Struthio camelus: one gene and its partner. The protein of the gene in region 1 purifies or fractionates together with the protein of each later gene. This does not show direct contact. Links are inferred from orthologs where the notes say so. Each region holds a gene or a part of one and is shown in the gene's direction. Other genes may lie near its edges.

Region 1 (15,605 bases):
TATTTTGTTCTTTAGGAAGCTTGTATACATAGCAGCTTTTCTCACTTGCATGGGTTTTTTGTATGCTTCTTGAAGTTATGGTGGGGTTTGGGCTTTTTTTTTTTTTTTTTAAACAATAAACCATTAACTTTCGCACAAAGCTTTTTCATTTTGTATAGGAATGGGCATACATCTAACAATGGCAAGTGTAAAATCTAACAGTATCTAAAGTAAGCTTGTGCTGACAATCTCAACTAACTTGGGTATTAATAAAGAGTAAGAACGTACTCTTTGGAGAAGAGTAAGAAAATTGTTTTTTCCTGTTCTTGATGCACGTATTTTCATGTATTGGTAAGGTGAAGAATATAGGAAATGAAATGGTCTCATCATTGGAACATCCCAGTTGTACAGGGCAGCACCATCATCCTAAAGCTTCCTCGAGGATCGCACTGGAGACGTGACTCAGTGCCTACCAGCTGCAGTCAGCCACCCAGGCGGTGGCTGTATGCCACTGATGGTTTGGGCCGACCTGCACTGAAGCAGAGGAGTATGCTCATCTTGTGTTTTGCTAGCTGACCATTGGTGGCAGGGGCCCTGAAGGAAGCACAGATGAATAAAGTCTGGAGAGACAGTAAAAAGAGGCTCCTCTTAAAAATGCCCCACGTGTGCCTCAAAACATTATTTTACTGTTAGAATCATCACTAAAACTTACTGGAGTATCCATTTTATTTAAGATAAACATCTATAAGCGCAAGAGAGACCAAGTTTACAGTCATTCTGCAAGCAAAGTTTATAAGCCTGAGGTTGACAGGTATGGTATTAGTAAATATTTCATACAGCAGTATGACAAAATTCCCTGACGTGAACTTAAGATAAGGTAGTATAGTTTCCCAGAATCCAGAATAACTGCATGTGCTATTGTGCCTGAGCTGGTAATTCACTTCATCCTATTTCTCAGTTGGAGGTTTATTGATTTGGATTGCGAAATAACTAGATTGCAGACTGTAGGTTGCATTTATAGATGTTTACAGTTAAAGGACAAACAGTTTGAGGGGTGGATTTTCCAAATAGCTTTTATCTTAAATATATCAGAACGTACACCCTTGGAAGAAAATCCCTGAGGGGCCCCTAGCTGTGTTATGTTGGCCCAGTGTGTAAATACTACAGTACACCCACAGTGTGCGTGTTTTGTGCTAGGCCAGAAAGGACTATTCCATTCAAACCCTTCTGCATGCTCATGGTTGTGCTACTTGCAGAAGATTTTGGTTTGGAGCACACGTGGAACAAATGAGATCAGAAGTACCCTCTGAACCAAAAATGTCTGAGCACGGGCAGGGAAGCGTTCCTTAAGTCAGTTTTGCAGGCAGTGCTGTGTTCTAGGTCCCTGGTCACAATGGCATGTGCGTTATTGAGCTTGTACCCCCCTACCTAAAGGAAACATTTTCCAGTCTTGATTTTATTTTAGTCCTAATTAAAAGAATAATAATAGAGAGAGAGAGAGAGTTAGGGCTACTTGGTAGCCAACAGAGAAGGCATGTGAACTGATGTGTACCTTAGAGGCACGAGCTGTCACCAAGATGTGAACAGTGCAGCAAAATAAAGCACTCCAGGCCCTAGAATAACTGAGCTGTTACACCATTAGGGGTGAGGTTCATGGATGGTGGGGGATGAAATGGTGTCTGGCCTGCTGCTTTTTGCAAAGTGTTCTTTGCTAATGAGTTATGATCCAGATTTTCCTTGTCTCAAAGTTATTTCTTTCAGAGATCAGTGTACTAGATAATATACCTTTCCGCTCCAGGCCTGTTTCTGGAAAGTGTCTCTTCCTCTTTTAAGTTCCTGTTTGAAGTCCAGGGGTACCCAGGGAGGTTAGCTGCTGGCGCTTCATTAGCTCTGTTGTTATGATGCCTCTCTTACCTCACACGCTGCCCAACTCTAGCTGCTAATTGTTTAAGTGACAGTGGTGAATAGGACAACTACGCATGCGTCTTCTGCAGAGAATTTAAACATGTTAAATCATGTATGAGACCACACAAGGGGGAGACAGTATGCGCACTGAACCTAGGGTGAACTGCAAAACCCAGGCCAAACCCAGAGCCTTCAGCAGGTAAAAAACAGTTGTTACACAAGGGAAGCAAGCACCAAGCGGACTTTTTGAGACATCTCTCAAAGACCTGGCTCCTAATGCGAGAGAGTAGTGGGTACTCAAACTATGAACTATATCAGAAGGGCCTGCTGGTTAATGCACTTGATTTAAAATGCATTAGAGATGTGGCTGTATGGATCTCCTTTTGCTAAAATGCTTTTTCTATACCATTGTATCAAAAACATTCCTTATTTAGACCACCTGAGCCCCACTGAGACAATGTTGCAGCAGGATGGCTTAAAGTCCCCTGAGAGGGATCCATGACAGAAAACGGGAAGGACAAACCATACAAGCCTTCCTCGTGGTGGCTTGAGGACATGCTATCTTAAAGTGTTACCAACAGGGGCATAGGTTTACACAGTTTGTTTTGCAACGGAGCCCAAGAGCAATGCTTCATCTTTGCCCATCCACCATCTCTGTTATCTCAGCACGTGCGGGTCTTTCATTTAGTGGTTCCTGCACCAGGCCTGGTTAAGGCGGTTGATCTTTCCTTCTAGATAGAGAGACCTGACCTTGTGCTTCACAGTCAATGCAGGTGATAAGTAATTTCTGAGTTCTCTCTAGGACAAGATCCAAACAGAAGTGTTACACTTAAGCCAACTATAATGTTTTGAGCACGCTTGAGTCTTCAAGGCAGCTTCCCATACTGCTTGTTATGAGGAGCAAAATGGGCCTGTGGACATTTGAAGAAGTGCCATACGCTTTTTTTTTTGTTTGTTTGTTTAATTGTGCAACAAGAAATACGGACTTTCGGTAAGGACAAGGACAGGCTTCCTGTAATGTTTTCTGTGTTGAAAGTGGAGTGGTGGTGGGAAATTCCTAGCCCTGGGGATCCGTTCCAATTTCCTCTTTCTTTATGTTTGAATCACTTATAAATACCCTTTCTGACTGACTCTGAGGACATAAGACAAAACTTCATCTCCTTGTGGCTTCGCTCTTCTGCAGCAGTGAGTGGTTTTGTGCATCTGAGCGAGAGAAGCAGTGTTTTTATCTGGTATTTGGGAACAGGACTAATGCTTTAGCATATAGGATTTCATTGCGCTCAGTTAAAAGGAGCAGCAGGGAATGCTAAAATGCAAGTTTCTCATGCCTGTCTGAGAGGAGGCCTGAGTATAGCTTGTGCTTCTGCAGCGGGCATCAGTCCTTGCAGGGGAATAAGGGGGTTCTTGGGCTGGCTATCAGTGTTGGGGGCAGCATCCGCTACTGGTGCAGGTGCCCTGGAACAGCTGTGTGATGAATGTTACATCAGAAATCTCTAGAAGGTGCTTCAAACGCTGCGAATCTCTCTGGTTTTCTCACAGGTCCGTGACAGCCTTGGGAAAGGAACTATGAAGCTCTGTGTCTGCTTCGTGTTGCTCTCCATCATTGCATGTGCAAGTGCTGAAAACCCGTTATACAGGGGTGGAAAATTTGCCTGGGATGCCATAGGAGGTCAGTTGGTCTGTGAACCCAAGTCTTTCTCTCAGGAAACCACTCCCCAAGCAAAGGGACTACATGCAGTCCCTGGGTGCAGTCCTCTGGGCAGGAAGGTCCACACCTCCTCCTCAGAGCCCCTGGTGGTCTCTTACTAGCAGAGGGCAGCGATCAGCCCCTGCAGGCCCCTTCTGTGAGCACACCCCTGTGAAAGGCCGATGTGCAGAAGTGCTTCCCTGTGTTAGCGTTCCTCAGGTTTTTCCAAGCAGAGCACAAAGGGTTTGACAGGATGGGCCATGGCTCGGGCTTGAAGGTGCCCCTGCAGCTAAGAACAGGAACTGCAGGAGCAAAAGCGTGCTTATGGGGAAGGAACTTTTTGTGGATAACCTGGTGGCACAAACCCTCTGGCAGCCAACATCCCAAAGTGAAGCTGCTGGCTTCTCTGGTGCATAGCACGGAACCACAGGGCCATTGCCCTCTGTAGAGAGAGAAGCGAGGAGCTTCCTCTGCCCCTGAAGTGTCACGTCCAAGCTGTGCAAAGCTTCTTTTCAAGGAGCCCCCTTTCTTCTTTGCAGATCTCCCGTAGAAGAAGTGAAGGTTAGTAAAGGAGCTTTCTCAGGGGAGCCCTGGGGACGCTTTTTGGCCCAGCAGTAATCCATGAGCCCCTGGCTGAAATGGTACTCGTTGCTGGGGAAGACTCTTTAAAGTTAACATAATCTCTCTGCTTTATTCAGGGGCATGGGATATGTACAGAGCATACCGAGACATGCGTGAGGCAAATTATAAAGGTGCTGACAAATACTTCCATGCTCGTGGGAATTACGATGCTGCCCAAAGAGGCCCTGGCGGTGCTTGGGCTGCCACAGTGATCAGGTAATGGAGCGTGCGTGGCTTGTGAACAGCGACTTACTGGGGGGCTGGGCATGTTAGTTAGCGTGGAGCCCTTGCTGACTTGTACTCAGCTTTTGACCTAGAAAGAGTGGAGGCAAGGAAGCGCTCGACCTCCGAACAGCTTGTCTCCTTAAGGAAAGGAGCCTCTCCTCTTGCAGGGGAATTAGGGTTTTCTTGTTCTCCGAAGCGGGCAGCTTTCCTACCCCCTGTGTTTCTGGTGCTACGGGACTCTTTTTTTTTTCCCCTTGCTGATTCGTTTCCTAACAAATTTGTGGCTGTTACGGTAGTCCTCAGATAAGGACTCGGCATACGTTTGCTTCTCTCTCGCATTGAGAAGTCCTGCGGAAAAGCTAACCTGAGGCGAGCGAGGAAACCAACGCAAAGCGATAGCGTGACAGGGGAGTTACGGTTGCTTCAAGTGGTCCTTTTTTTTCCCCCTCCCCCCTTGCCAGCAACGCCCGGGAGAAGTGGCAGAGCCAGGTGAGCGGCCGCGGCGCCGAAGACACGCGTGCTGACCAAGAGGCCAACGCCTGGGGCAGGAGCGGCAGGGACCCCAACCACTACCGGCCGGCCGGCCTCCCCTCCAAATACTAACGGGGTCCCTCTCTCCCTTTACCCCGTGCTCCGCATAGCCTGAATAAAGACATGTCCCCGCTTTACCTCGACTCGCCCCTGTCGCACTCGCGGTTCCGCTTGAACGGGCGGCGCGGACCGGTTCAGATCGGCTGGGGAAGGGCGGGGGGGGGGGTGGGAGGGGCACGGCGCGGCGCCGCCCCGCGCCGCCAGGGGGCGCTGCGCTACGCGGCGCCGCTCTGGCGCCGCTCTCTCGCCGCCTCGTTGGCGGCCCGGCGGCGGCGGCGGCGGCGGCGGGGCGCCATGGACCGCAACCCCTCGCCGCCCTCCAGCGAGGCGGAGGAGGACGAGGGCGACGCGGTGGGCGGCACGGTCTACAGCAAGCACTGGCTCTTCAGCATCCTCACGCGCCTCATCGAGGTGCGGCGGGGCCGGGGTGGGGCGGGGGGGCGCCCCCGGGGCGGGGCTGCGGCGCGCTCGCTGTGACCAGCGGCCGCAACGGTCGCAACGGCCGCTGGGGTCCGCGGCGCAGCTCACGGCCGCCGCCTTGCCTTGCCCCTGTCCGCGCAGGTCATTAGCCCTGAGCAAGGGGAGCCCGGCGAGGGCGAGCGGACGGAGCTGGACGAGGAGATGGAGAACGACATCTGCAAAGTGTGGGACATGTCGATGGACGAGGTAGGAGGGGGCCCCGCCGGGACGGAGCGCCGACGTGGTTACGGGCCGCTGCTGCTGCCGCCGCCGCCGCCTTGCCGCGGCCGAGCGCCTTCGGTCCCAGCGGCGGGGCTGGAGGAGGACGGACGGCTGCGGTAGGCAGCAGGCTGAGCGCTGAGCGCCCGCCCTCGGCTCTCCGGTTCAGCCGGCGTTGCCTTTTCCGCTTTGCGGAGCGGAGAAGGTCTGGTGAGCGAGCGGGGAGCAGACCCCTCGCGAAGGACCCCTTTCCGAGGCTGAGCAAGCGCCTGGTGAGCGCTCTTAAGCCAAGCACCCGTTGGCAAAAGAAGGCCTTTTCTTGCTTCCCAGCTGCTGGGCGCCATGCTGATGTTTGAGGGTGCAAAGCAGGGTTGCATGTGAACGTAAAAGAAAAAAACACGATGTGCCAGACCTTCCCCTCCAGGTGTCTCGGGGTTTGTGCAGGGCTAGTGCTTAGGATCAGCTGGCCTAAGTGAGACCGTAGTCAGGACTGGTTTCTTGTATGACGTTCAGGAGTTGAACAGGAGCCTTGAGTCGTTAGGACACCATACCTTAGCTGTATGTGGTAATTGGCTGCAATTACTTCAGGTGCATAGCTTTTATTTTCAGCAACTTGGCTATAGCGATAATATTGATTCTGTTTCTAAAATGGTATATTTCTCTCTAGCCATCATAACGCATCATAGTAAAAAACGTAGTTGTCTCTGACAGATAAACGGCAGCTGTAGATTCATAGAGGCAATTTAATGTAACTTTTTGGATTTTTTTCTGAACGTTCTCAAATACTAGAACCAAGTAAGACTTTTTTTTAATCCAGCTTCTTTTCTCAAGTAAGAGATTTTTTTTCACGTTCTCTCTTTAGACATTTTTGAATAAACATGGAAGATATGTCCTTCACTCCTAAACAGAGAACTAATCTCGTGGTTTTATGAGGTGAAACAAGGAGGAGATTTCTAAGACTTTCCTCCTTTGTATGCTCTGAGCAAGTGCTAATGGTAATCCCATCCTTTTTCTTTTTATGTGCCTGGATTATGTCATGGTCCAAGAAAACAGCATTTCCTGAATTCTGTGTCTGACCCTCCGTGAGATAGAAAGCAAAAGAAACTGAATGTGACTGTTCTGTTTGGCTCCTTGTACAACATACCGCCAGCATCTTTACTCTTAGGGGCTTGTTGAGCTTCTGTTATTGAAGAGTGAGGATGGTAGTATAGCGTGTTATTGCCAGTAATTGTTGGCAAATACTTGATGTTTTGTAATGAGTTCAACATCTATGTTGAACTGTGGACTGATCTATGTGATCCAGTCCTTGTTCTGTGAGAAAAGGTTTGACTTGTGTTCGGAAATTATCAGTCAATTTGCTTCTCCATTTGCTTTTTCCACAGGATGTTGCTTTATTTCTTCAAGAGTTCAACGCCCCAGATATATTCATGGGAGTTTTTGCCAAGTCAAAATGTCCTCGCCTTACTGTAAGTACGGGCTGTCACAAAGCTATCCCATGTTAATAGCAACAGTAGATAGCGCTGTACATGCATTCATAAAATATCGCCCTCCTCTTCCCATTGCATTTTTGAATGAGTAAGGGAGGAAACAGAACACACAAAATCCAAATTTAATTTTTTTTTTTTTTGCACGGTGTATCTAACATGGTCTAATCAATAATTATTTCAGTAATGCTGAAGTTGATATATGTCACTATTGATAAAGGTTTAAGCATTCTAAACCATGTATTTTTAAAAATCTCTATACTCAGAAGATGAGTTTTGCTGGAATTATATTGAGAGCCCTTTCTTTTATGAGGAAGTGAATATCTGAGAGTCTTGCATTTATATGTTGATGTTTTTGTTCTTAGGACTCTATTTTAATAGTAGGGGTGTCAAATTAGCTTCAAAACAGTGTGTGTGTGTGTGTGTGTCATATAAAAAGAGAGAGAGAATGCGAGCAAAGTTAGTTTCAAGGTACAGTCTCTTCCATGGAACACCATAACTATAACAAAAATCTGAATAGTATCTCTCATGAGTATGTTTATGTTTAGGTCAATCTGACAACATTGCTTAGAAGATCCACATCTCTGTCTTGAAGTTGATGGATTGTATGAACTCGGAAATCAAACTGGAAAGCCTCTCTGAACCTTTCTTACTTTGTATGGTGGCTGTGGAAGTAAAATTGTGAACTATGTCGCAGCAGCTTAATAACACTGTGTTTTGACTTTTCAGGAAATCTGTGTGGGAATACTGGGAAATATGGCTTGTTTCCAAGACATATGCATGTCTATTAGCAAAGATGAGAATCTTGGGTAAGAGCGTACGTGCTTTATACCAGCATACGTGAACACTGCTTTTAGTAATGGATTTTGGACTGAACAGGTGAACTTATATTATTAGAATTTTTTTTAACTAATAATTTGACTTGATAAAATAAATAGGATGATGTCTTCTGTCCTGTTAAATGCGAGGAAGATAATTTAAATCAAATTTACTTACTTTCTGGACTCTCACCATCAAGCAAAATATATTATTATAAAAGGAACTAAGTTTGCTTTCCTTGCCTCATCTTCATTCAAGCCTTTTTGGCTACCCATAACTGATTGAGAAGTGTTCAGTGAAGATAAAAGAAAGGATATAGACCATCTTTTTTTTTTTTTTTTTACCATCACCAGTCAAGCTCTTTGAATCATTAATTTCTAAGTCTGGCGATGTTGAAAGACTGGAAGTGCATGCGCAAGCTGGAAAAGCTGACTTTAATTTTATAGCTGTAGCCATAGTCTAAGATTAATCTTTTTACAGACTTTTTTCACAAAGATAGTTTTTATTAAAACTCTTATCTTGAATTTTCGGCTTACAGCCAAGTGTTACTGCAACGTTTGTGTGATTCAGACTCTCCAACTCTTCTGGAAATAAGCAGGTAGGAGTTCTTGATAATTAATATATCACTAATTAATATAGTTCTGAAATGTTCTGAGGCCTATGAAGAAAACTGCAAATTGACAGATGGACTGATTATTATTATCCCATCCTACCCTTTTGTAATTTCCACATTGTTCTGGAATTGATTTGCTGTGGGCTATATTTCTATTTCTGGCACATCAGTCCAATTATTTTGGATTTATAGTGGTACAGTTAAAACCAATCTGTTGGTTTCTAATTTGTTAAATGGGCAATTCTTGTCTAGGTTGCTGTTAACTTGCCTCTCACAACCCGAGGTGGCCAATGTCTGGGTTGAGAGAATCCGAGAAAGCCCTTCTGTCTTTGACTGTGTTTGCTTTATCATGTCGAGCTCTACAAATGGTAAGTTCCTATAACAAGCTGTAAATTAGTAGGTGTTTGCAGAAAAAGTAATTGTTGAAGTATGCCGTTTCAAAGACAAGTATTTTCAATTGGGAGTGCAGAATTTCTTTACAGTGAAGTGGACCCAAACCTAGATGAGTAAGAAAGGTTTTTGGAAGATTAAAACAAAGTCTAATAGAGAAATTTTCTTTTGGCACAGTAAGGGGAAAGGGAATAGTCCTTATTAAGAGATAGACATATATCACTCTTGAGCCTTGAAATAAGACCTGCTTTAATTTTTTTTTCAGCTCAGAGATGTATTTTTCAATTTTAAAAACTGCCATGTTTGAGGAATGCTAAGTGATAGAATGGTTCAGTTCCTCTGGCAGCAGAATACTACATAGCTTTGGCATGCAGTCCAGTGGTACTTAAGTCTTTTCTTTTTCTTGATAGCGCTAATCTAGCAAAATCCTAATTAGGCAACAAATAACAGAAACATTTTGAACAGCATTTATTTTGCAAGTTCAGTTGAATTATAACAGCAATAATTGTTTGTCTAGAAATCCTGATAATTTAGCTTTTGGAATTTGAAGAATGTCAGCGCCACTGTTCTTTTTTTTAGATGATGTAATGCACAGAAATCACACTTAGTCCAATTGCAGTCACAGATCTATTTAAGTGATATGCTGATTGACAGGTGTAAGATTAGCAGAAAACTGTGGATTTAGGGACAAATGTGGGGGTTTTGATTTCAGGAGCAGAAGTTATGACTTTTCAGCAGCCTCAAGCTCATAGTCTCTTTGCAGAATGAAGTTCCTACTTTGTAAATTGCATGATAAAATAGAAGGTGTCAGTGAGCTTTCCAGCAGTCCCTGTTTATCAAGCTCTTCACCTCAATTCCTTTTTGTAGCAAAAATAAGCATAGTAACCCTTAGTAGATCATGAGTGAGACTAATATATTTCAGTACTGTGTTTTCTCTTATTACTTTTTTATGTTAGCATTTGGTGAACTCATTCTTGCTGCTCATTTTTTTTCTGTTCTTGAATCTGATATATTCTTTCTTGTGCAGTTGAATTGCTGGTCAAAGTGGGTGAAGTGGTGGACAAACTCTTTGATCTAGATGAAGAGCTAATGTTAAACTGGATTAAAAATGGCACTTGTCAGTCCGTGGGACCATCTATAGATGATTCCCCTGAAGAACTTCCAGATTTTAAGATCGTGCCTTGTATACTTGAAGCAGCCAAACAAGTCCGGTATGTGAGTTTTCCTTTCGGTTTCATGGCTGGGGAGACTCCTCATGACCTCGTTAAAGCTCATGTGTTGAAAATCTCTCTTCTGTGGGAGCTACATAGTTTGCCAGTTTGGTAGAATGCCTCGACTTATCGTTCGAAATTAGCGAACTAGCTTGTAAACAAAGAACACGGCAGTGATTGCTGATGGTCTTTTAAGCATCTGAAACAAATTGGAAGTATAAACTTCTCAGTAATCAGGTCTTTAATTTGGCTTTGGTTTTTGTTCTATTCTGTGTAGCTCAGATAATCCAGAAGGACTTGATGTTTATATGCATATCTTGCAGCTCCTAACCACGGTGGATGAGGGCATTCAGGCTATTGGTAAGACACTTGAGTTGCTACATATGGTGGGACCAAGAACGGCAGTAACTTTTAGATCCTCAGATATTTAATGGGAAAAAACAATTAAGGTGCCTAGATTAAATTTGTTGGGTTTGTGTGTGTGTGTGTGTGTGGTTTTTTTTCTTTACCTTCTCAAGTGCAGGCTCCTGATGGAGGAAAAGAAACTTGGAGTTTGCTTTATGACCTAGTTTGCCATGAACTCTGCCAACCAGATGATCCAGCAATCGTTGTTCAGGAGCAGAAAACTGTATTGGCCTCTATTTTGTCTGTACTTTCTGCTATGTTTGCCTCACAGACGGAACAAGAATACGTCAAGATGAGGAAAAGCAAGTGATGCGTTTTTCTTTTCTTCTTCTTCTTTTTTTAAAACTATTTTTACAATTGAGTTTATGTATGTGGGGTGAAAGATGGTTAATTTATTACTGTTTACTAGCTGTCAGTTTAGAACACAAAATTCAGATACGTGTTTGAACACTGTAGGGTTCTTTAATGGTGACCCTAAAAACCACAGCTAGTACAAAGCCCAGGCACTGGATACCTCTGAAGAGCTATGGTAATAGAATCTGCAGATTGTGTTCAGTCCCCTCTGCATTGGGTAAAGTTGGAGGCGTGAAAATTTGGTAATTCATCTTTGCTAAGAGATGATGTCTTGATAGTGGTTGTTGTAAAAGAAGGAGATATGGCACTAGCTTAAAAGCATCTTTATCGCTTGTTCTATGCATTGAACAGCCTTTCTAATTAAAAGGCTATCTTGGGCATGTGAGTCAGTGTTATTGCCCCACAGGACTGTGGAAAGAATTGTACTTGCTCTAAGCTACTACCGGAGACATTCTCCTCATATGTCTTACCACTGGCATATAATTTTTATAGATACAGGTTAGCTGGCAGTAAAGAGTGTTTTGGGTTTTTTTGTTATATTTCCACTTGCTTTTTTAAAACAGTTTTTGTCTGGTATAAACACAACAGTGTCAGAATGTACATTCCTATATCCTTTGTATAAAATCTTCATATATGTTTCAAAGTTCTAATCCATTGAGAAAGGGTGGGGAAAAAATTTTGGTGTTAAACGTAGTTTCTTGTTACTATATATTAGATATGCCTCTGATTGGGAGCTTGATTCGTATCTTACAATACATGGAAGGCTGTGGGAAGAGATCTGTGGATGACTCAAAGGAATCCAAACAGGATGAAACTGGAAAGGCAGAACTAAATGAGGAAGATTTCCATTTGAAAATTTTGAAGGATATCTGCTGTGAATTACTTTCCAATATGCTTCAAGAGCTGACCAAGGTAAAAATAAAATGTTAAGAGAGATTTTTGCAGAGTAGGTAAGGAAAGAAAATGTTACTATTAATGGGGCATTTTTCTGTGGCCTTTCCCCTTTCTTGTGCAAGTAAAATTCCAAACAGGAAATCACTCGAATGGAAGTCAGTTTACATAAGGAAAGGAAAGAATGTCAAACCCTCTATTATATTATCACCTCTTAGCTGGACTTCTTTATTATGGGAGCATTAAGACTAAGACACTGTTTTCACACCTTTTTGACCTTTTTGTATTAGTTATGTCTGGTATCGTCATAGAACTGTTAAAGTCTGTTCCATGTTCTGCCTTTTTATGAGAACAAAGTGCATACTGTACATGCTCTGTGTGCTACTGAGAGTTTGTTCCTCTGACAGCTGTTCATGACATGATAGTTGTATTTCTTGTCTTTTAATTTTCCAGGAAAATATATTAGAAGGGCTAAATCAGGGACATTTAAATGAGCAGACATGTTCCTGTGCGTTTCAGAACCTCTTGCCTTTGTATTTCACATCGGTGAGTATATGACAAAGTCTTTAATGTAGCTGAAAAAATACTACTTTGGTGGTATGTCCTTTCATAAGCAGGTATAGATGTATGACAAAATTGCTTATGAACAGGTAACATGTCATATTAGGCAATCTTATTTTCTCCCTCTTCTGGCTTACTTCAGCCAGAACTTTCCCTAGATCATTGGCTGATACAAGGGCCAAACTGTGCTGAAATGAATGAAGGTCTGCAAACTTATGCTGAAAATGTGTCCCTTACATTCTTGTAGAATGATTATAATAAGCGTATTTCATACGGAGCTTTTCTTTGTGTATTTTGAAACAGTAAAAGTTTTGGGAAGGTAATAAATCCCTGTATGTTTTGGAACTTAGGCCAGCTGAAATTGCAGGCTTTAGGAGGGAATGATTTACTATGGAACATTTTCCACTCTTCTGTACAACGGCCTTTCCTGGCTGCTGTTGATGGGAAGATACAGGAGTGTAGAAGCCCTTAGACTAAGTTCAGCGTAAGAATTCTGTATTCCATGGAAACGTGTTTCCTGTATTTGCAATTTATTTCCAGGTGGAGAGCTTCCTTGAAGTTTTGCGTGAAGCTGATCAGACGCTTGCTGACAATCTAGAAAAACGTTTCCCAAGCCTGAAGGTCCACACCTAAGAGTGTACATGAAATATTTTCCTTCTTTGGGATGAAGATTTTTTGACTGTTTCTTTACAGTGTTTTAGAAGTCAAATTTTCAGTAAGTGCAGAAGAATAAGGCAATGTCCTTACCAACAGATGGCTTGTAAGAGATGTTCCACGTAGCCCAGATTAATTTAGGGTTAATCTAGTCTGCATGGGGAAGGAAATGATTGTAAGTTTAGTTCTGCCTTTTCCATCGTGTTTGCTCTGGTGATGAGAGACTGTTGATTTCTAGTTGCTCTTCTGCAGAGTAGCATTCTTTGAATAACTCTTGATCCTGTGCTATTCAACTTATGTTGGAACAGTTAAATGAATGAAATGCACTGAGTATAGTTTTTTAACATGATGCTGGCCTTTTCTAAGTTGCTGTTGGCAGAAGGAGGATTGATCCATGGGAAATCTCAGATGTCCTCTGGTTAACAGGTCATCGTCTTTTCCAAGCACCTGATAAAAACAGAGTTAAATTACACAGGGAAGAGGCTTGTTTTAAGTCCTATCTGTACTTGAGCGGATATTGTAACAGAATTGTATCATCCTGCTCCTTTAAGATCTTTTCACTTCTTCTTTTAAAGCCTCTTCTGCGCTGCAGCTCTGAGTCATCTAGGGCCTGTGCAGTTCAAATGGGTGTGAGAATATCCTTATGGATGGTCAATTCTTCAACTTCCAGCTATTACACCCAGTCACCCAGAGTTAAAGTTGTAGGGCAGGTTTAGATTTAATCCCTGGCATACTTGCAAACTTTCTGCTTTATCTAAGCAGTCTGTACTTCAGTTTAGGAATATAACGTGTATCTGACAGTTCTTTCCTCATTCGTGTGGTTTATGAATTATCTGTGAGTGACCTTAGAAGTGTCATTTTAGCCTGGGATTTTCAGGGGAGCTTAAGGTGTTGGCTCACTTCTGGTCAGTGAATTCAATGGACAGTCTTCTCAAATCCCACTGTTAACTACCTTAGATTTTAACTATATTTTAGCTACGTTACTTTTTTACATCACTTCCCTGCATGCAGTGCCGCTAACATTCTTTTTTTTGTGTCTAAAAAGATGCATTAACCACACGGCAGCTCCAGCTGTTTCTATAAATTAGAGTGGAAAACAGTTGATCTTTACTATGTTTGAGATATAAAGGAAAAAGGGAGCCAGAGCATCGGGAATAACTTAATAACATACACACACCTGCTATCTATGTTTTTATAGGCTTTAAATATTGTGCTGGGCCATGTTTTGTTTGCCCTGAGTTACATGTATATGTGGCAAGATACAGTATCCGTATATGTATATAGCCTTTTCATCCAAACTTCTAGTTTTCAGACTAACCTTCCCCTTGGGCTGCCAGTGACCTCTTAGTTGTTGTCAGGGAATTTAGGATTAGAAAAATCTGACTTGCCTCATTGAAAAGAATTGCAATGGTTTCTATCAATTTTTGTATGCTATGTTTATTGGAGAAAACTGGTAACTCTGAATAGGATGACCTCATTTTCATACTACTTTGACAGTTTTTGGATATTTTCTTAAACCTACAGATTTGTAATAAAGTTTCTTTAAAAAAATGTACGCTTTTCTTCATTTTAAGTGTCAATTAAATTCATGTTCTGAGTCACTGGAATTGTCAATTAGACTCTTCACTGTATCATTTGTAAGAGCAAAACTGAACCTCTTCCTAACCTAAATATCCTGTAAAATGTGTTGTCCTTTATTGGATGTTCCTTTTAACTATCTCTTGCTTTCTTCTCTTAGTCATTTTTATGGCTTGGAAGTTTATGGCTCTGTCATCCAGTTGTTACATTTTTCTGAACTTACCTTGTCCCAGGGCATACCATGAATATCTTTATAGTAGTCCACCCAGGTTAAGAATTATTTCTAGTTTGCACCTCTTGAGATTTGGTGCTTTCCAGGGCTTGCTTAATGTAATGTACAAAAAAGCTGAAACAAGATCTTTTGTTTTATTTGCTTCCTCCTCTTTGCCAATACACAATTATGCAGTACTGGCTGATTAATTGTTAAATGTGGTCTTTTTAATTACAAGGAATGAGTGAGATGCAGCATTCCCCTGATATAATTACTGCCTTAAATTGGATGATATCTAACACCTGTCATGCGGCAGAGAAAATGACAGATATCAATCAACGGGACACCAGCTCGGTCCCATCTTCCCACTTTTCTGCACGAGAAGCAGCAGTAAAAATTGGTTCCGTCGGCTTTGTTTCAGCACGCTAATAATTCAAGTATGTCAGGAGTTTTTATCCTTGCTAAACATAGTGGAATGGAGACTGAATTCCCCTTTTGCCCCAGCAAACAGCTATTCTTGCGCAGGCTGTGCTGCATGAGTCGGACAGCACTGTCTTTAGCAGCAAGAGGCTGGGGCCACATTGAACATAGGGGAAGCGTGGAGCATTTTGAGCGTTCAAAAGTGGTAGAAACTTTCTTCATAGTAGCCAATGATTGATGTGTTCAGCAGTGGCGCCTGTATATTGCATAGTCTTGCCAGCAGGGATCTCCCTGAGCTTGTGCTTCATGTACATCATGAGTCCTTTTA
Region 2 (16,237 bases), on another chromosome or scaffold:
TATTTGTAAGAATTATTAGTGCAAACTACCAGTGACTTTGGAATAACTGCATTGCACCTGGTTTTCTTCTCACTCATACTGGAGTAAAAACAAAATTGTAGCTTTGTCATATTAGGCATCTGAACGACCGTTTCAAACCAAATTCCGGGTTCCTTTAATCACTGTGGGTGTGGCAACTGGAAGTACCATACCGGCCTCCTAATGCAAAGAGTTTTTGCACGATTTTTGTGGCAGTAATAAGTACTTGTTCAACCTGTATGTCCTTGGAAAACACAGGAAGCATTTGCTGTCCAATAACCTGTTAATCCATCCCAAGCTTCACGGAGAGGACAGCCCAAAACACCAGGTACATTTTACCTCTATTTACCCTAGGGAGAAGGCTACAAAGAACAGCTTTTCCCCTTTTTTTCCTTTCCACGTTAAACCCCAGAATGCTTTGAAGAGACTCCCTGAAAAGAAGAATAAGCCACAGAATCCCAGTCACTCTGTGAAGTTTCTTGAGCTTTTTCTTCTTTAATCAGTTCTGCCCTGCTCTCCCCTTTGCTCCACAGGCTAACTGACAGCATAGGTTCTTCCATACGAATTGGGACAGGGTTATATATTAGTTTGAAGATTCCCTTTGACAGACAATTATTCAATTACTGTTTTCTAGTGCGTGCACGCAGGTTACTCCTGTAAAAGAGGCTGGAGTACCCTTGGACTAAACAAGATGACAAAGCTTTTCCGTTCAGTTTGCTATACCTCAGTAAATTAGGCTGCAAGAATAAAGCCTCTTTTGCTCTTTCTAAAAAATATAGCTCTTCAATAAGCACTTTCATTTACCTGATGCTCTTGCTGGCAGCATCTTTATCTATTGTTCACACTGTTATGACTCTTAGAAGTTTGCTGAGCTAAAGTATAAGCTTTCTTTGATGGTGGGATGGTGACAAATTATACATGTAGAGTTTGATCTTGAATGTCTCCCCCAAAGACTTAATAAATTCTTTGCGAGTTTTATGCTCAGTCTAGTTCAAAAATTGGACATGTGGATGTTGTCTACTTTTCCATCAGAAATGAAAAAATGGTAAAGACACATTTTGCCCTGTACTCAATGAACTGTATCTGAACTAACTTTCACTGGCATAGCTCTAGAATGATGTTGGCTTTCTATCTACAATGAACTAACAGAATTCAAAATCTAATTATGGAATGGAAACATTTTCTCAACTCCAGAAAACTGGACAAGGCTCCCTGTGGAGGTTCTGTATTAGGAGACAGGATAATTCTTGAGCTCTGACAGCTCCCTTCCCTGATCTAGATGAGCACATCTGTTCTGCTGCAACCCCAACCACATCCATCTAAGAAAGCTGAGGATGGGCACAGAGCCAAGAATCCCGTTTACATCTAACACCAGGAATCTCTCACGTGTCATTGCAAACTAGTACAATTCGGCTCCTAGAATTTCATATCAGTTGCTTCTAACACCTCTACAACAGAAAGATGAGTTTCACTATGACTCAGACAGCTTCACCTAGAAGATCTTTAGATAGTTCTAACTGAGTAAAGAGCTAAGTCAAAGCAAGCTACTCCAAATAATATAAAAGAGTTTAAGATCTTAAATTTTAATATAGTAGAAGCAAACCTGATATTGTAAGGTGATTTGGTGGGCAATTTTTCAGCAAAATAGGTTTTTAATCACCAAATGTCAATTCCTTAAAATGGAAATGTTTTAGAGCCAACAAATTTAGGCAGAATATAGGAAAGGTTCCCTTTCCTTCTTTCACCTTCTGCTCCAGTTTTCCATGCAGGCTGCTAGGAAGATAGGTACTCACAGTCTGCCAGGAGTGCTGCATTTATTCCACAAGCTTTCTAGTATTGCAGCATAAGAGTTAGAACTCCAGCTAAAGCTACGGGCAGCTTTTGAAGACCAGCTGCCCTCTCAAGATAACATATACACTTCTAACCACCGGGCTAAACTAACAAACCATGATTTGCAGGATGGAGTACCTAAGATCCATAACCATTAATTGCATGCATAGCAACAGTACTGGCATTTAGATTTTTCATACTCTCCTACTAGCACGACTCCCATTTCCTGTGGAGTGCAGCAGATCTTGTGTATGTCTACACTATTTGAAATCTGTATTTGCAGCCTATAAATCTGGACTGTTCATCCATATTGTTTTGTTTAACTTGAGTCAAGCCATGTTTACTCACAGCCAGGCTGCACCTGCTCATCTTTTAAAAGTAAGGTCACTAACGTAAAAGGAACATAAAAGAGCTTGTAGCAGATTGAAGCAATGTAAAGGCACCCTGCAACATCTAGATTTCTTGATTTTGGGGGCGGGTGGAAAGGGTTGGGCAATACATTAAACAAAAATCTATTGGAAATTCCAGGGTCATAGGAGAAGTTTGCTCACTCTGAGGGAGACTTTTTTGGAGGCTTCTGATGGCAAATGACTTTAGTGAGCACATGGGTCAAGTCAATTGCAGAGTGGACCAGCAAGTCAATCCACCTAGCTGACCAACTAGAACTTCTGATGTATTACAAATTTGCAAGCATCACCCCTCAGGAGTGGGGAAAGAGCTAGAATACTACTGATAAACTACTGAAGTTAGTGGTTTAAGGGGTGCCAAAGAACTTACTTCACTGACCCTCATCTGCTGAACCTTTGCCAGAGAGGGAGGACAAAAATGGAATGCCTTGAACTTTGCCAACGAATGGGTTCTCTCTTGCGGCTTTCTCTCTTCTTGCATTTACAAAAATGATTCTGCCTGGTTAATAGACACACTGCAACTCATGTAGAAGCTGGAAGGGGACAGAAGGAGAAACTGAGAGAGAACATGTAGGAAAGGAGATCAAGCTGTTGCTTATATGTTGCCTCACTCTCTCCTTTGCATTGTTCCTAATAATGACTAATATGACCCCTTGATGAGCCAGTTTTACTCACTGAGTCAGCAGAGAACTCACCCAACAAAATACAGAACTTTCTGCTGGCTTAGTGAGCTGAACTGGTCACTGAAGTGCCAGAAGAGCACTAGAGTTAGAGCAAGGGAGGCAGTGGAACTAGGAGGCTTACATATGGAGAAGAGGGAAATGGAGTCACCCCTTTTGGCATCACCAGTGTATTCGAGCAGTTCAGCCTGTCTCATCTAATTGCAACCTTACAGCAATACTGTGATGATACTGCAAATAAACCTTGCAGCCTTCAATAACAACTGCAGTAACTGTGGATTTGAAAATGGGACAGGAAGGCATTTGAAACTGGAAGTTGAAGATTGAAGACTTCAGCCCAGCAGTCCTAAAAAGTATCCAGTTGTGGCTTTCAGTGCGAAGAGTCAGGTGAACCAGGTGAGAAAGAGCACTACCCAGCTGTCCTGTTGCAGGGACTCAACCCTGCAACCTGCGCTCAAGGCACAACCCATCCGCTCTGAACCTTGTCTCTCTACCACTGGTTACCAAGTAGCTAAGTGTTGTTCTGTGGTATGATTACTGTCACTTTAGCAAGCTAGAAAGGAGTGTGCCACCTGGTACTGTTTCAGTGAGGTCTCCCATCAAACCATTAAAGAACAGAAAAGAAAACAGCAGAGAAAAAAGAAGTGGCTGTCTGCACAGAAAAAGCTGCAGCCTGGAGTACCCCACGGTTAGGCAGCATAAGCAGTGCATAGCTTTACCACGCTCCCTGTCTAGGGAAGGCTACATGCCTTCCCCCTAAGCAGTACTAGCAGTACAGACAGCTTGAATCCCAATTTAATATAAACCTCCAGTTACTTGTTACCCTATGGTGACATCTTGTGGATCAGAGCAAAATACCCCTGCCTAATTCCACAGAGCCATGAGTGCCCTAACCTGAGAAATCTCTTTCCCAAGTCTCATGAGTTTTATAGCACCGTATAGGGTAGATGGAATTGGTTTAGCTTTTCTTTAATTTTTCCTGCTCTGTAGATAGTGCCAATGAGCACTGTAGGAACAAGCTCTACACAAAGAACCAAAAATAGAAGTAAAAAGGGAAAAAAGCAAACAGGAGAGTAGAGCACAGAGTCTGAGAAAAGAAGAGAGTAATAAATAAATGTCATAAACTACATTTTCTATCAATAAAAGTGTTTCCAATGTCCAAAGCATAGTACAAGCAAGTGTTGCGCTATTAGGAGTTAATAGCTGAAGCTAATGGGAGCCTATGCCTGCTTGTCACAGCAGCAGGAGCATGCAAATAATCATCACCACACAATCATAGCTCTGCAAATATTAAGCAGCTAAACCTCCCAGGATGCCTGTGCATGTAGTATCATTCACACAGGCTGGAACTGAAGATTCAGTTCAGATTCAACTTGGGATACTAAGAAATGGAAAAAGTTAGCAATACTCCGATAAAAATATCAATTGATTTTGGAATGTTAATTTTGGAGCCTCCAGTTTGAAATACTCAGGCATTATTTATAAATAAAATTACAAAATTAATTTCTCATATTTCTTTAACTATACTAAACTGTATACACCACCTACAGAGGTATAATTTTTATTAATCTAGCAAGGAAACTTGGTATGAATGATCATTCACTGTCTAAATTAAATTTCTATGAAATTTAATTTAAAAATTTTGATAGGTATCAATCTATTTCTCTACTACAGTAGATTTTTATTACTTTAACACAAGTGATCAGCCAATGTCTGTGGCTAATTGTCATTTATTCTGAAAATACTTTCACTAAAAGCTATTCCAGTATAACTTCCTATGGAGACATATTTATCCAGAAGGTAATTTTCCAAATAAAGAGTTATTCTAAAATAGCTGTAGTCCTTTAAATTCACATCCTATCTTACATCAGAATAATACGTAGCAAAGATGCTCCAGGTTTCTGAGGGAAATACCACCTTACATCTTCATATTCACAACAATTTATACATCTAGAGAACAACCATTCAAGTCCAAAAGAAAATGCTTAACTCCTTAGGAGTTCTGATCATACCCTCAGTGAAGGAAATGAATATTTTAACAGTAACTTCAAGGGGAAAGGATAGAGTCTGTGTGCTCTAATGCTGTAAATCACTAAACATTTTATTTTAATTATTAAAAAACAACAGCTTACCAGTGTGCAATATTTTGCTGTCTTGCCATTTTTATCCAATACCTCTGAACACCTACGTTGACTAGTGTAAACAGATGGTATGCTGAAAATGATAAAAGTTTAAGTTATGGTCCCGTAACATGGGAAAACATTCATTCTATGTAACAAGAAATACATTCATTTGTGACCTCTGCAGGCATTTTAAAATACGATACATCAGCCCTGACTGATGCAGAGAAAAGAAAGAGTTCCATGAATGTCACCTATCACGGAGATAGGATAAAAGTGCTTGTATTTCAGGTACTCCCACAAAGCATTACAAGAATGGGAGGAGCAGTGAAAGCTGGAGAGGAGGAGACTATGGAAAGGCAGCACACATGGCAAGTCATAAACTCATTAACTGAGCACCTGTTGAAAATGGTAGTGAACAGGTTTGAGTAGCCTCTGGTTGCCACACAGGCCTATGACTGTGCGGGCTCCCGAAGGGGTGCTTAGGCAGGGGTGTTTACCCAACATTGGCAAGAGGCCCTCTGCAGAGCCTGGCCCATGGGCAATGTCCAGCACAGGATGGTACTGCTGACTTCTGCAAGGTGGGCAGGGCCCTGTCCGGTTTCCAGCACAGGCACAAGCACACGTGCTTCTTGTCACACCAAACAAGAGTCAGCCAGTCACAGAAAATGCCATCAATACTCTCCAATAAATCTGCATTTAGAACAGCTAATTGGGAAAAAAAAAGCAAGTGTAGGTATTAAATGAAGTTTATTGAACTATAAAACCTAGCAAGGAACTAAGTTAATAAGAAAGCACTCCTTTGCCCCAAGCTAAAAATAAATGATATTTGATTCAGCAAAAATCCTGAAGCTTACACAATGCAAATTATAGCCAAACTGACACCTGGTTGAGGAAAAATATCAATACACACTAAAGCAGTCTATAATATTAGTCAGATACAAAGTAACCCACATGGATTAGTAATTCTGTCAGAAAAAGAATTTAAAAATCAGAAAAGCACAAGACACTTCAAAGCCATGTACCACATACAGCATGATCGTGATATTTTATTAACTTCAAAACAAAATATGAATTAGCAGTTAATTACCTATTAAAGTTGCCATGCTAATGAGAAATACTTGAACAACAAAATTGTATGTAGCAGTAGACTAATACACCTTCATCCCTTGGGATTACTTAAGAAAAATAAATTGTCCCCGTGTGCACCACAGACTAATTCCTAAGAGGACTTTGCTTTGTGTGGTTTTAGAGAACAAAAACAAATCTTAGTGCTAAATGAAAAGTATCAGAAGGAACATACATATAGACATAGGTCATTAGGACTCAGTATATATTAGAGAAAATAACAGGGACAGAAGTGTAGTTTGTTTCAAATTTGGAGGCTATACAGATGCCTAATAACGTTGACATACAATGCTGACATAATTACTGCTTGAACTGTTGAATTCCAGTTGCCTTTGCTAGGCTAATAACAGGAAATACTGCCTCTGAAGTTTACGCTGGCTCAACAAGCTACCGAGTTCATAACTGAAGTCAATATGTAGAGTTAGAAACTATGAATAGACTAACTGGAAAAGGGTGAAAAAGGTGCATCTCAAGGTATAGCTCAGGATAAAAATGTATTGTGAAAAAGCTGGCCAGCAAAACAAATATTTATTTTGTGACAATTTACAAGTTTTTAAAAAATCCATCCTGAACAAAAAGGCAGACAGAAGTCCTTCAAAAGGCCACTCTGGGCATACTCATAATAAATTAACCTGAGGCTTTTAGCTCTGCAGACCGCTGATTAAGATTCCCTAGTGAACTTAGAGAACTAATGCTACTGCCCATCTGAGAAAGCAAGAGGCATAACTAAACGAGAAGGTTACACAGGAAAACTCTTCTTCACAAAACACATCGCAAGACCACATACTCTTCTGAGCAAGTGCCTAGAATTAGTTATGATAGTTTGGTAATGTTTTGGAAGGTCTGGCTGTGGACATAACCTATAGGGCATATTAATTTCTCCCTTGTTTCCCATGCAGTCACCATCAGGTAAGGAAGCTTTTAAAAACATATTGTATCTTTTATGGCTGTAACTCTTCCAAAAAAAAGTGCTAAGCTAAAGTAACTCTTCAGGAAACCAAACCTGGTAATGCCTGATGCCCCAACTTGAAACAGTAGCTCTGAGAACTGTAAAAGACACTGTTTTATCCAAATGCTAATGCTTAATAACAGTCAAAACTTAGCCTAAACATAAAACAGTTACTTTTCAGGTGAGTTAGCTCTCTGAACCAGCTCATCACTCAGTCCCATCATTTCTAATGCTGGCACATGGTGAGGAGTATGTGAGCAGGAAAGATGCTACTGGCTTTAGAGCGCTTGAAATCCATCAGGTCCAATTTCAGCTGCAGAGGAACTGCCTGGGAGGTCCAACTACAGCTAAACTAAATGGACTGCTCAACTCCCTTGCATTAGAGATAGCTACAGTTCATGCAATAGCAAATTGAATTCATTTGTCAGGCCAATCAAAGTCTGTAGTAAAGAAAAAGGTTTGCTGGCAGTTAATTCACTGAACTGAATCAACTCACCTTGTGGCCAAAGAAATACCCTATCTGACATAAAAAGAGAGCAGGGAACTGACTGAGGGAGGAGGAAACTGTCCTCTCAGTGACACATGGCAAAACAGCAAGAAAAAAATAATATGACTTTTATTTCCAGCAATGGCTGCTTGAACTTCACTGAGAAAAAAAGTAAGTTCTGGTTGCTGCGTCCAGTAAGAAGGGTGAAATTCCTGGAGTTTGCTTCAAGGTTGTCAAAGTAACCAATGGCTCTCCTAGCCTTGGACAAAAGCAAGGCAGAGAGATAGACTGTAAATTCCTTTTGTGCATCTAGAATACTAATAAACATTTTTATTTAACTCAAAAAAAAAATCAAATCATACGCTAAATTTCCAGCTGGTTCAGTTGCTGTTTGCCTATTTTGCCTATTTGCTACCCAGCCAGGAAAAGTGCCAGGGCTGGCACAGGAGGAGGGTAGGAACATGTTCCTCAGGGCAAGCTGTGTGAAACTATGATAGTTTCTCACCTGATCTTGTAGGGAATCTCGTAAATCTCTCCCGGCGTGAATCTTGACTAGGCTTGGCTGCCTGTGTCAGCGATGACTGCAAAGTCAAAGGGGGAAATCCATATGGTCCGTATACAACGCAGTGCGCGTTCTGCCTCGGAGAGCCGCATCAGGCTTGTTTGTAACGAAATGTGCCAACCTTCCGGCACCCTCAGGCCCAAAACTGTGCGTCTCTTCTCCAGCACCGCTGGGCACAACTTCTGACACTGCAAGCAGACATGTAACCCACCAGCACAGATCCCTGCCGGCCCTGCAAGGCTGTGACTACAGCTTGGCGCTGCCAGGTGCGCTCAGATTCCCTAACAACGGTCATCAAACCGGGCAGCGACTGCCACCGAATTAGACAACTCTTCTGGGGGCACCGAGGGTTTGGGGGAGGAGAAGGACCGGCTCTGCAGGTCAGTCAGCCCTTGCTGGTGCCAGGGCAGAAGCAGGGCACGGTGCTCGGTTCTGCCCCAGAGGCGCCGACGGAAGAAGCGGGGACCTGGAGGGGAGGCGACCCCCCCCCCTCCGTGAAACGGGGACCGAGAGGCGGCTCTGGCGCTGTGAGGGGGAGCAGGCGCGGCCGTTGGTGGCCCCCCCCTCCGCGAGGCGCGGCCGTTGGTGACGCCCCCCCCCTCCGCGAGGCGCGGCCGTTGGTGACGCCCCCCCCCCCCCTCCGCGAGGCGCGGCCGTTGGTGACGCCCCCCCCCTCCGCGAGGCGCGGCCGTTGTGGCCGAGCGCGCGCGGGGCGTGAGAGAAGGGACGAGCAGGGGCAGCAGCGCGGCGCCATGGTGCCCGCGCTGTGCACCGCGCTGGCGGGGCTGCTGCTGCTCCTGCCGCTCCTGCTGCGCTGCGCCCGGCCCTACTTCTTACAGGACTTACGCTTCGCCCTCACGATGGCGCGGGTGGCGGGGAGGGCGCGCAGAGCCGGAGCCGGCCGTCCCGCCCGCACCCTGCTGGACGTCTTCGCGCGGCGGGCGGCGCGGACGCCGCACAAGCCGCTGCTGCTCTTCGGCGACGAGGTCTCCACCTACGAGCAGGTGGAGCGGCGGAGCAGCCAGGCGGCGCGGGCGCTGCGCGACGCCGCGGGGCTGCGAGCGGGCGGCTGCTTGGCCCTCCTCATGGGCAACCGGCCCGCCTACGTCTGGGTCTGGCTGGGCTGCGCCAAGCTGGGCTGCGCCATGGCTTGCCTCAACTGCAACGTCCGGGCGACGTCCTTGCTGCGCTGCTTCCAGAGCAGCGCGGCCACGGTGCTGCTGGCGGCCCCAGGTGAGGAGAGAAGCCGCTGAGGCGGGCCGCGGTCGCTGGGGAGAAAACCCACGGGCCGAACGAGCGGAGGCTGCTCCGCGCAGCGGGGGCACCCCCGCGGGTGGTCGGGTCTCGCCCGTGGGGCCTTCCCGAGTCTCCCCGGGGCGGTTGGGTGTCCCATGCCCCGCGGCGCCTCGGGTGGCCGGCCGGCCGCTGCAGGGTGCTGAAGAGCAGGGCCTGGCTGCTTCTGCTGGTACCTCGGCATCCAAGAGCTGAACCTGGGGATTTGAGAGGTTACATCAGACCAGAGGGAAAGAAGAGTTTTCTGGATAATTTACCCCATGTTTGCATTTTCTGATCATGTGTGAGACAAGAGAATTGCGCTCAGGTGCTCTGTTATTTGATAAGGTTGATGAAGCCATAGTGCTAAAATAACCCTCAGTCACACAACGTTATTCCTAATGTTCACAGTAATGCTCAGGTTGGAAAGAAACAATTACGGTCATGCAAAAGAATCCTCTTGGTGTAACTGGACAGTGACTTAGACACCTTAAGGTGGTTGCAGTCTCTATAAAAGTTTGTGTCAAGTTTCAATTCAAAGACAAAAAAGTGAACACACCTAGATGAACCACACTACTTTTTCATAAAATAGACGTGTTGGTTTGTTTTAAGTGGAAAACTGCATTCTGTTCCACATTGAATAGAAACCTTATTTCATGCCTAGTCTTTCAGCTTTCTGTATATATATATTTGTATATATGTACATATATGAATGCCTGACTGTACGGGAAGTCAAAGACACTGTTTGTCTGCCCAGAGTTAAAAACATTTACATGAATATATACCCATTCTCAGCTTAGATAGTTGAACTCATTCTTCTACTGCATGTGATCAAAGTATTTTACTCGCCCCAAACTTTAGGAGTTTAAACACTAAGTTTTCTCCTTTCTTGATCAGTTTCTACTTCACTGAAAATAAGTTCTGTAGAATCTCTGCAATCTCTTCAAAATTAATTGGTATTTATCAACATTTATGGGAAAAACTAATGTGTGCAAGAGAAAATTAATTTTTCTCCTTCCTTCTCAACAATTTGAGTAATCAGGTATTGACCTCAAATTTTCTAAAAAAGCCTTCAGCTCTGGGAAGGGAATTTTTAACGAAAAAGTTTGCTGAAAATTGAGCTTTATTAATGAAAGTTTACTACATGCTTAAATCCACTAGTGATTGCTGAATATAAGGAAAGGAAAGAAGTCTTTTTCTGTTGGACCTTGATGCTCTCTGTCCTTATTAAGTTTCATCCTTTATTATCTTGCTTCTTTAGGCAAAAGGTAAATATTGCCTCATCAGAACTTATCATAATACATGATCATGTCTGTGTGCTTCCATAGGCAAGTTTCCAGAAAAAAAAATATGCTGAATTAATTAATACAGAGTATATGCTATCAATGATATCTACAACAAAAATGAATTTACAAGTTTCCTGGAGAATTATTCATCTCTAAGGTGCCAGCTTGTAAAATGTGTGCCTTATTAATAAAGGGCCTTATTTTCTTTCCTTCATGGCTGATTGTGGCTCAGGAGCGAAACTCTTCCCCATCCAGCTTTATTCTTTGTGCAGCATCTGTGGGGTGCCAGAGAACATGGTGGAACAGAGGAAGACAGACCAGGCTATACTAATATTTTGAGATGTCCTTAGCTGTTCACTAACAGAAGCCTCCATGAGATGTTCATGAGTAGCTCAGTGGCAAAGGGACATCCCTTGTAATCTCAGGATATTTTTTGGACCCAAGTTTCAGCAGAAGTTCAGAACTGTTTGATGGAGGATTCTAAAGTCTGAGAGACTTGAAAAGTTTGCTTTTGTGCAATTGGGACAACCTTCTGATGCAGGTCTGGGCTTCATCTGTAGTCACTTAAACTGAAAATACAGTTTTGAGTAATAGCATTAATTCTCAGTATTAAAATTCCTGAGAGATTTGTTAATTTAGTAGTATTTTATTTACTCTCTGTTTTGAAATAAAATAGGTGCTGAAAAAATAGATACCATTATGAAAAGGTTTTATATTATGATATTTCAATGAAAGGTGTTGAGGATTCATTTTAAATTGTTTGAATGGATAATTCTGGAAGGCATTTAGTCTAGATTTCTAAGGAAATAAGGTATATACAATTGCATCAACTGTCTGCTCATCTTGCTAACAACTCTTGAATCCATTACCTAGTTCCATTTGTTAAGGGAATAAAAGTTTCAAGGATGATTACGTACCTTCAGACTTGGTAGAAGTTGTTAGCCGGTAGAGGAGAGAGATCAGCATTACTGCTTCAGTAAGAGAAAGGCAGGCAGGACTTGATGATGCAGGGAGTATGCCTCCTCAGATTGCATATATCTGCACTCATGCTGTCTCTTGTTGATTGGAGATACTGGAGGGAATATATGGGGGAATGGGGCATGTGGAGGAGACAGACATAGGAAGAGGTAGGACACAACTACCTGGGAGTCCAGGCGTCAGTAGTTCCATTACTTATGGAGTAAGTCACTTTTGCAGTTCTCCTCGGTGTGTTGAGACTTTATAAAGGTAAGGCTCATCTTCGTGCATAAAACATGGTGAGATTTAAGTAGCACCTACTTTTGTGTGAGCAGTTGCTAGGTAAGGCATTTCTCACTGTGGAGACGAAACATTAGCAACATGGAGCTAGTTAGGCCAGGTGCCTGCTACCTCAGGGTGTGCAGGCACAGGGAAGTGTGCCTGGATGGCACCTTTTTAATTCTGTTTGTCCATTCAATCTCCTGCTGCAGAAGATCATATAAGTCCCAGTTCTGCGGGGAGACACCATTTCTCTTCAGTTCTTTTGCTGGATTCTGAAGTGACTTGGGCATGAGTTTCTCTAACAGCAATTAAATATGAAAGCTCCTGAGGCAAAAGTTGATGCACTGATAGTACAGTTCACTGAATAGTACAGAATTTTGTTATAATACTTTTTTTTTCTGCTCCTTTAAGAGTTGAAGGAATCTGTTGAAGAAATACTGCCATTGTTGAAGGAAGAAAATGTTAAAGTTTATTACCTAAGCAGGACATCTGCTACAGACGGAGTTGAGAGCTTTCTTGATAAAATAGATGCTGCTTCAGATGAGCCTACTCCATTGTCTTGGAGATCAGATATAACCTTTAAAACTCCTGCCATGTACATTTATACCTCTGGTACTACAGGTAATGTAAATTCATAAAAACGGTATGGAAGGTCACACATGCTTCCTGACGTTATGATTTTTGAGTAAGGAAAGAATCTGTCACGTCGCATAATTCTTGTGCTTATTCATTCCCTCTGAGGTGAATGAAAAATTGATACTGATATCTAAAACCAAAAAAGCATACAGAACATAGGCTGACTTTAAGCATCAAGTCTGTGGGGAGGGAAGGGTGTAGAAGCCAATTAAACATACATGTTTTCTGCCAGTAAAGTAACCGTGCATCTGCTGTCTCTTGTCCCTGGAGACACTGCTGGCTTAATTATGTGTCTCAGCACCCATCGCACACCTGTACTTTGGATCATGAACTCTAAATGCCAGCCATGAAGTCCTTGGGTGCCAGAGTACCAAAAACAGTGAATGCAGCATGAAGTACAGCTAGTCATAGCCACTATGCAAAACTGTAGCTGGTATAGGAGCTGCTGCCTGCCTTACAAAAAGGTATCTAGTGTTAGGAGCACTCAGCTACAGCGCAAACTCATTGACAAGGGTGAAGACAAGGTAAGGTATGACTCCACCCTAGCTTATTCCTTTAGCCTTTCAGTGAACAGCACTCCCCTGGAAGGGAGGAAGCATGAATTTGAATCCTTTTAGGCTGCAGAATACCAACATCTCAGGTGTCTTTCATCCTTGGTAAGAGCTCTAACAGCTCCATTCTTACATAAATGGAAAGCGCTGCCGTCACTTTGTCTTCTAGCATTTATTTCACAAGAATAAAGAAGTAGTCAGTTCAGCAGTGTATGATGGGAAACCAGGAAAAGATTTTGTAATATAAATTCCAATTTCACATAAGATGATTCAGAGCTGTAAGGAAATACCTAATTCCAGGAGAGATGCAAGATTTCAGACTCATTGCTGCTTTAGCATTACCATTCGCATTGCTCAGCGTGCTAAATTCTTCCAATCTCATTCCTTGGTACCTGTTTTTCCCCATTCTCTAGGTACTTATTCCTAGGTACCAGAGTATTGGGAATTTGGACACTTAATGGGAGATAATCACCTAAAAGTTACTTGTAGGAAGACACTCTAAGCCTCACTAAGGCTAAACCCTAACATGTGTTCTAGACACGAAATGCATGCTTCCCTAAACTCTGGAACTATAATTTGCCGAGTCTAATGCAAGCATCGGAGAATAAAAGAGAAGAAACCCTTAAATCCTTGTGAAACTGAGTGGTGTTACTATGTTTATTGTTCACCTTTTTGGCTGGCTTTAAATAGGTCTTCCCAAGGCTGCGGTGATAAACCATGAACGAATAATGCTAGCTTGTGGTTTGTTTGATGCTGCCAAGGTTACCTCAGAAGATATTGTGTATACTGCTCTACCACTCTATCACAGCTCTGCGCTCCTCATTGGAGTCCATGGATGCATCATGAAAGGTACAACACACTCGACTAGCACAAAGTGTTACTGCACGGAATTCATGCACAGATGTGATCATACAGAGTTGCTTCTTAGCTACCAGCCTTGAAGTGAAATAGTTGGTTACACATGTCCCAATAATCTGGGACCGCATAATTCAAGAGATGTTCTCATTTCTGATTACTCCCTGTTTTTCACATGACTTACACAGATATTTGCCCTATACAGAGTTTATTTCAGCACCTGGACAAACAGGATATGTCCTATCTTACATGACAGCTCTTTGCATAGTCTTTGGGCTAAGCAGTACAGAGTGCCATATGTTTCATCTACCATAATAGCTTTTAACTTTTTGATGAACAGAAATAGAGGTTGAATTATTCAGCGTGGACTGTATTTCAATATGTTTTAGGAAAAATATTTCTAAAAACCTATAAAACCCTAATTTTCCAAGTTTTCTACAATGTTGCACTAAGAAATTCTAGACAGTCTTATGATATCACAACAATTGATCCTTCTGGTTTTTGTTTTACTACTTCTACACAGGTGCAACTATTGTTTTGCGTGCCAGATTTTCAGCAAGCCAGTTCTGGGATGACTGCAGGAAATACAATGTAACAGTGATACAATATATTGGGGAAGTGCTTCGGTATTTATGCAGTGTGCCACAGGTAACTCTACTTTGTGTGTGTGTGTGTGGCTAATTAGACTAGGAGTATTGACTATGTTCAAAGAAAATCTAACTGTAAGGAAAAGCTAATACACATTAACAGTCACAAATGATCCATAACTTAGCATCTATCAGGTTCATTGAGCTTACTGTGCACTACATGGCCAAAAACCTCCCCTTGCATAAAGGCAATGGATGTAACTCTCCCTCGATTTCTGGAGTGGCTTTTGGCCACTCCGGAATGGAAAAGAGAGGAGCAGGGGAAGCCTTAGAGCAAAAACATACTTCTTGATTTTGAAAAAGTCTTTTTCTAAGTCAGAGTGATCAGTTCCCAGTTAACAATGTTTTCCATGAAAGTTTAGCAAAAATTATTACTTTATTGGAAAAACATTGTTTGATCAGCATGAGCTACATATGTGATTCACTTTCCCATTATGCTTTGTTAATCAAATTGTAATATACTGTTACTGCAAAAGGCTTCTCCCTGTATGTATGTAATGTTCTCTCTGGCCCAGGAATGCTTTTGGAAAGTCAAAATATTAAAATGAAAAGTGCATGGACTGTGGCAATAACAGTGTTGAAAACTTCTAGGTATAATTTAGTGTAGTAAGTTTTGTGTTTAAGTAGTTCTTTCTGCACAAGAGCTAAAGTTACTTTTTGCAGAATATTAAAGATATTACTCCAGATGAGATCTTGCTGATCTCCAGACATGAGCTGGGACTAGTAAGAGTTCAAGGAACCAGTTCCGAATAAAATAAACTATTCCAAAGATTTGAGTTTGAAAGAACTTTACATATTAATCATCAAATACATCCAGTCAATTAAAATAACACAGTAAGCAGTGTTCTTATTTACCATTTATACAGTGCCAAAGCAAACAGAATGTTGATGTGGGGAATCTTAGATAGTACTAAAAAGCTATACTCTTCTCTAATGAGGTTTACGATCTCATGGCACACTAACATGACATTTTTTCAAGGAAAAAAGAGCTGGTGGCTTGAATTAACCACTCCTTTGAACAGTGGAATAATCACAATTAATCTTTTATTTCTGTTAAAATGGATGGAGAAAACACACACCTTATAGATCACTCTGCAAACCAAAAATCAGTGAGGGACTCCCTAGGAACTAAAGGAGCTATGTCATTTCATATTTGGACAATGTGATACTTGGGTATTTTGAAGGTCGGAAACCTTAGCCCAAGACAATTGTGACCCCCCTCCCTCCCCCCCAGTGAAAGTTTTAATGAGATTATTTAAGCATAGCTACTTCTAAAGATACACTTAACATACTGTCACGATAGTGCATCTATTCATAAATACCTTCCTGCTAAGATCCCTCCAGTCATATTACTTAATCCTTGATTTCAAAAATGTCCTTGCAAAAAATTACTTTCATGGAGTTAAGCCTTGTGGGTAGCAATTAGAATTTAGTAAGAATGAAGGTAATATCAATCAGTTTTCTTAGCACCATTTGATAACCGTAAGTCAGAACAGAGGAACAGGTCTGCAGTTTATTTGTGATTCACGTATGTGTGCAAAATATCAAAGTTTTTTTCTGTTGCTGATTA

The links.
Region 2: the proteins of SAAL1 (region 1) and SLC27A2 purify together in Homo sapiens (co-immunoprecipitation; 3 studies listed by BioGRID and IntAct, with this or other methods). This does not show direct contact. The link is inferred for Struthio camelus from reciprocal best matches to the Homo sapiens genes SAAL1 and SLC27A2.

What each region holds. Positions count from the first base shown.
Region 1 is NC_090946.1:19,853,849-19,869,453, forward strand, and holds SAAL1 (protein SAAL1), read left to right. Parts: upstream 1-5,208; 5' UTR 5,209-5,302; coding exon 5,303-5,419; intron 5,420-5,569; coding exon 5,570-5,674; intron 5,675-7,068; coding exon 7,069-7,152; intron 7,153-7,899; coding exon 7,900-7,979; intron 7,980-8,527; coding exon 8,528-8,587; intron 8,588-8,854; coding exon 8,855-8,970; intron 8,971-10,019; coding exon 10,020-10,203; intron 10,204-10,480; coding exon 10,481-10,563; intron 10,564-10,721; coding exon 10,722-10,910; intron 10,911-11,677; coding exon 11,678-11,874; intron 11,875-12,306; coding exon 12,307-12,399; intron 12,400-12,954; coding exon 12,955-13,047; 3' UTR 13,048-13,591; downstream 13,592-15,605. Other genes in the region: serum amyloid A protein, read left to right, coding at 3,451-3,553, 4,270-4,408, 4,879-5,020. UniProt on the Homo sapiens protein: Plays a role in promoting the proliferation of synovial fibroblasts in response to pro-inflammatory stimuli.
Region 2 is NC_090953.1:12,392,942-12,409,178, forward strand, and holds the start of SLC27A2 (long-chain fatty acid transport protein 2), read left to right. Parts: upstream 1-8,866; 5' UTR 8,867-8,933; coding exon 8,934-9,414; intron 9,415-12,389; coding exon 12,390-12,599; intron 12,600-13,855; coding exon 13,856-14,014; intron 14,015-14,543; coding exon 14,544-14,668; intron 14,669-16,237. UniProt on the Homo sapiens protein: Mediates the import of long-chain fatty acids (LCFA) into the cell by facilitating their transport across cell membranes, playing an important role in hepatic fatty acid uptake.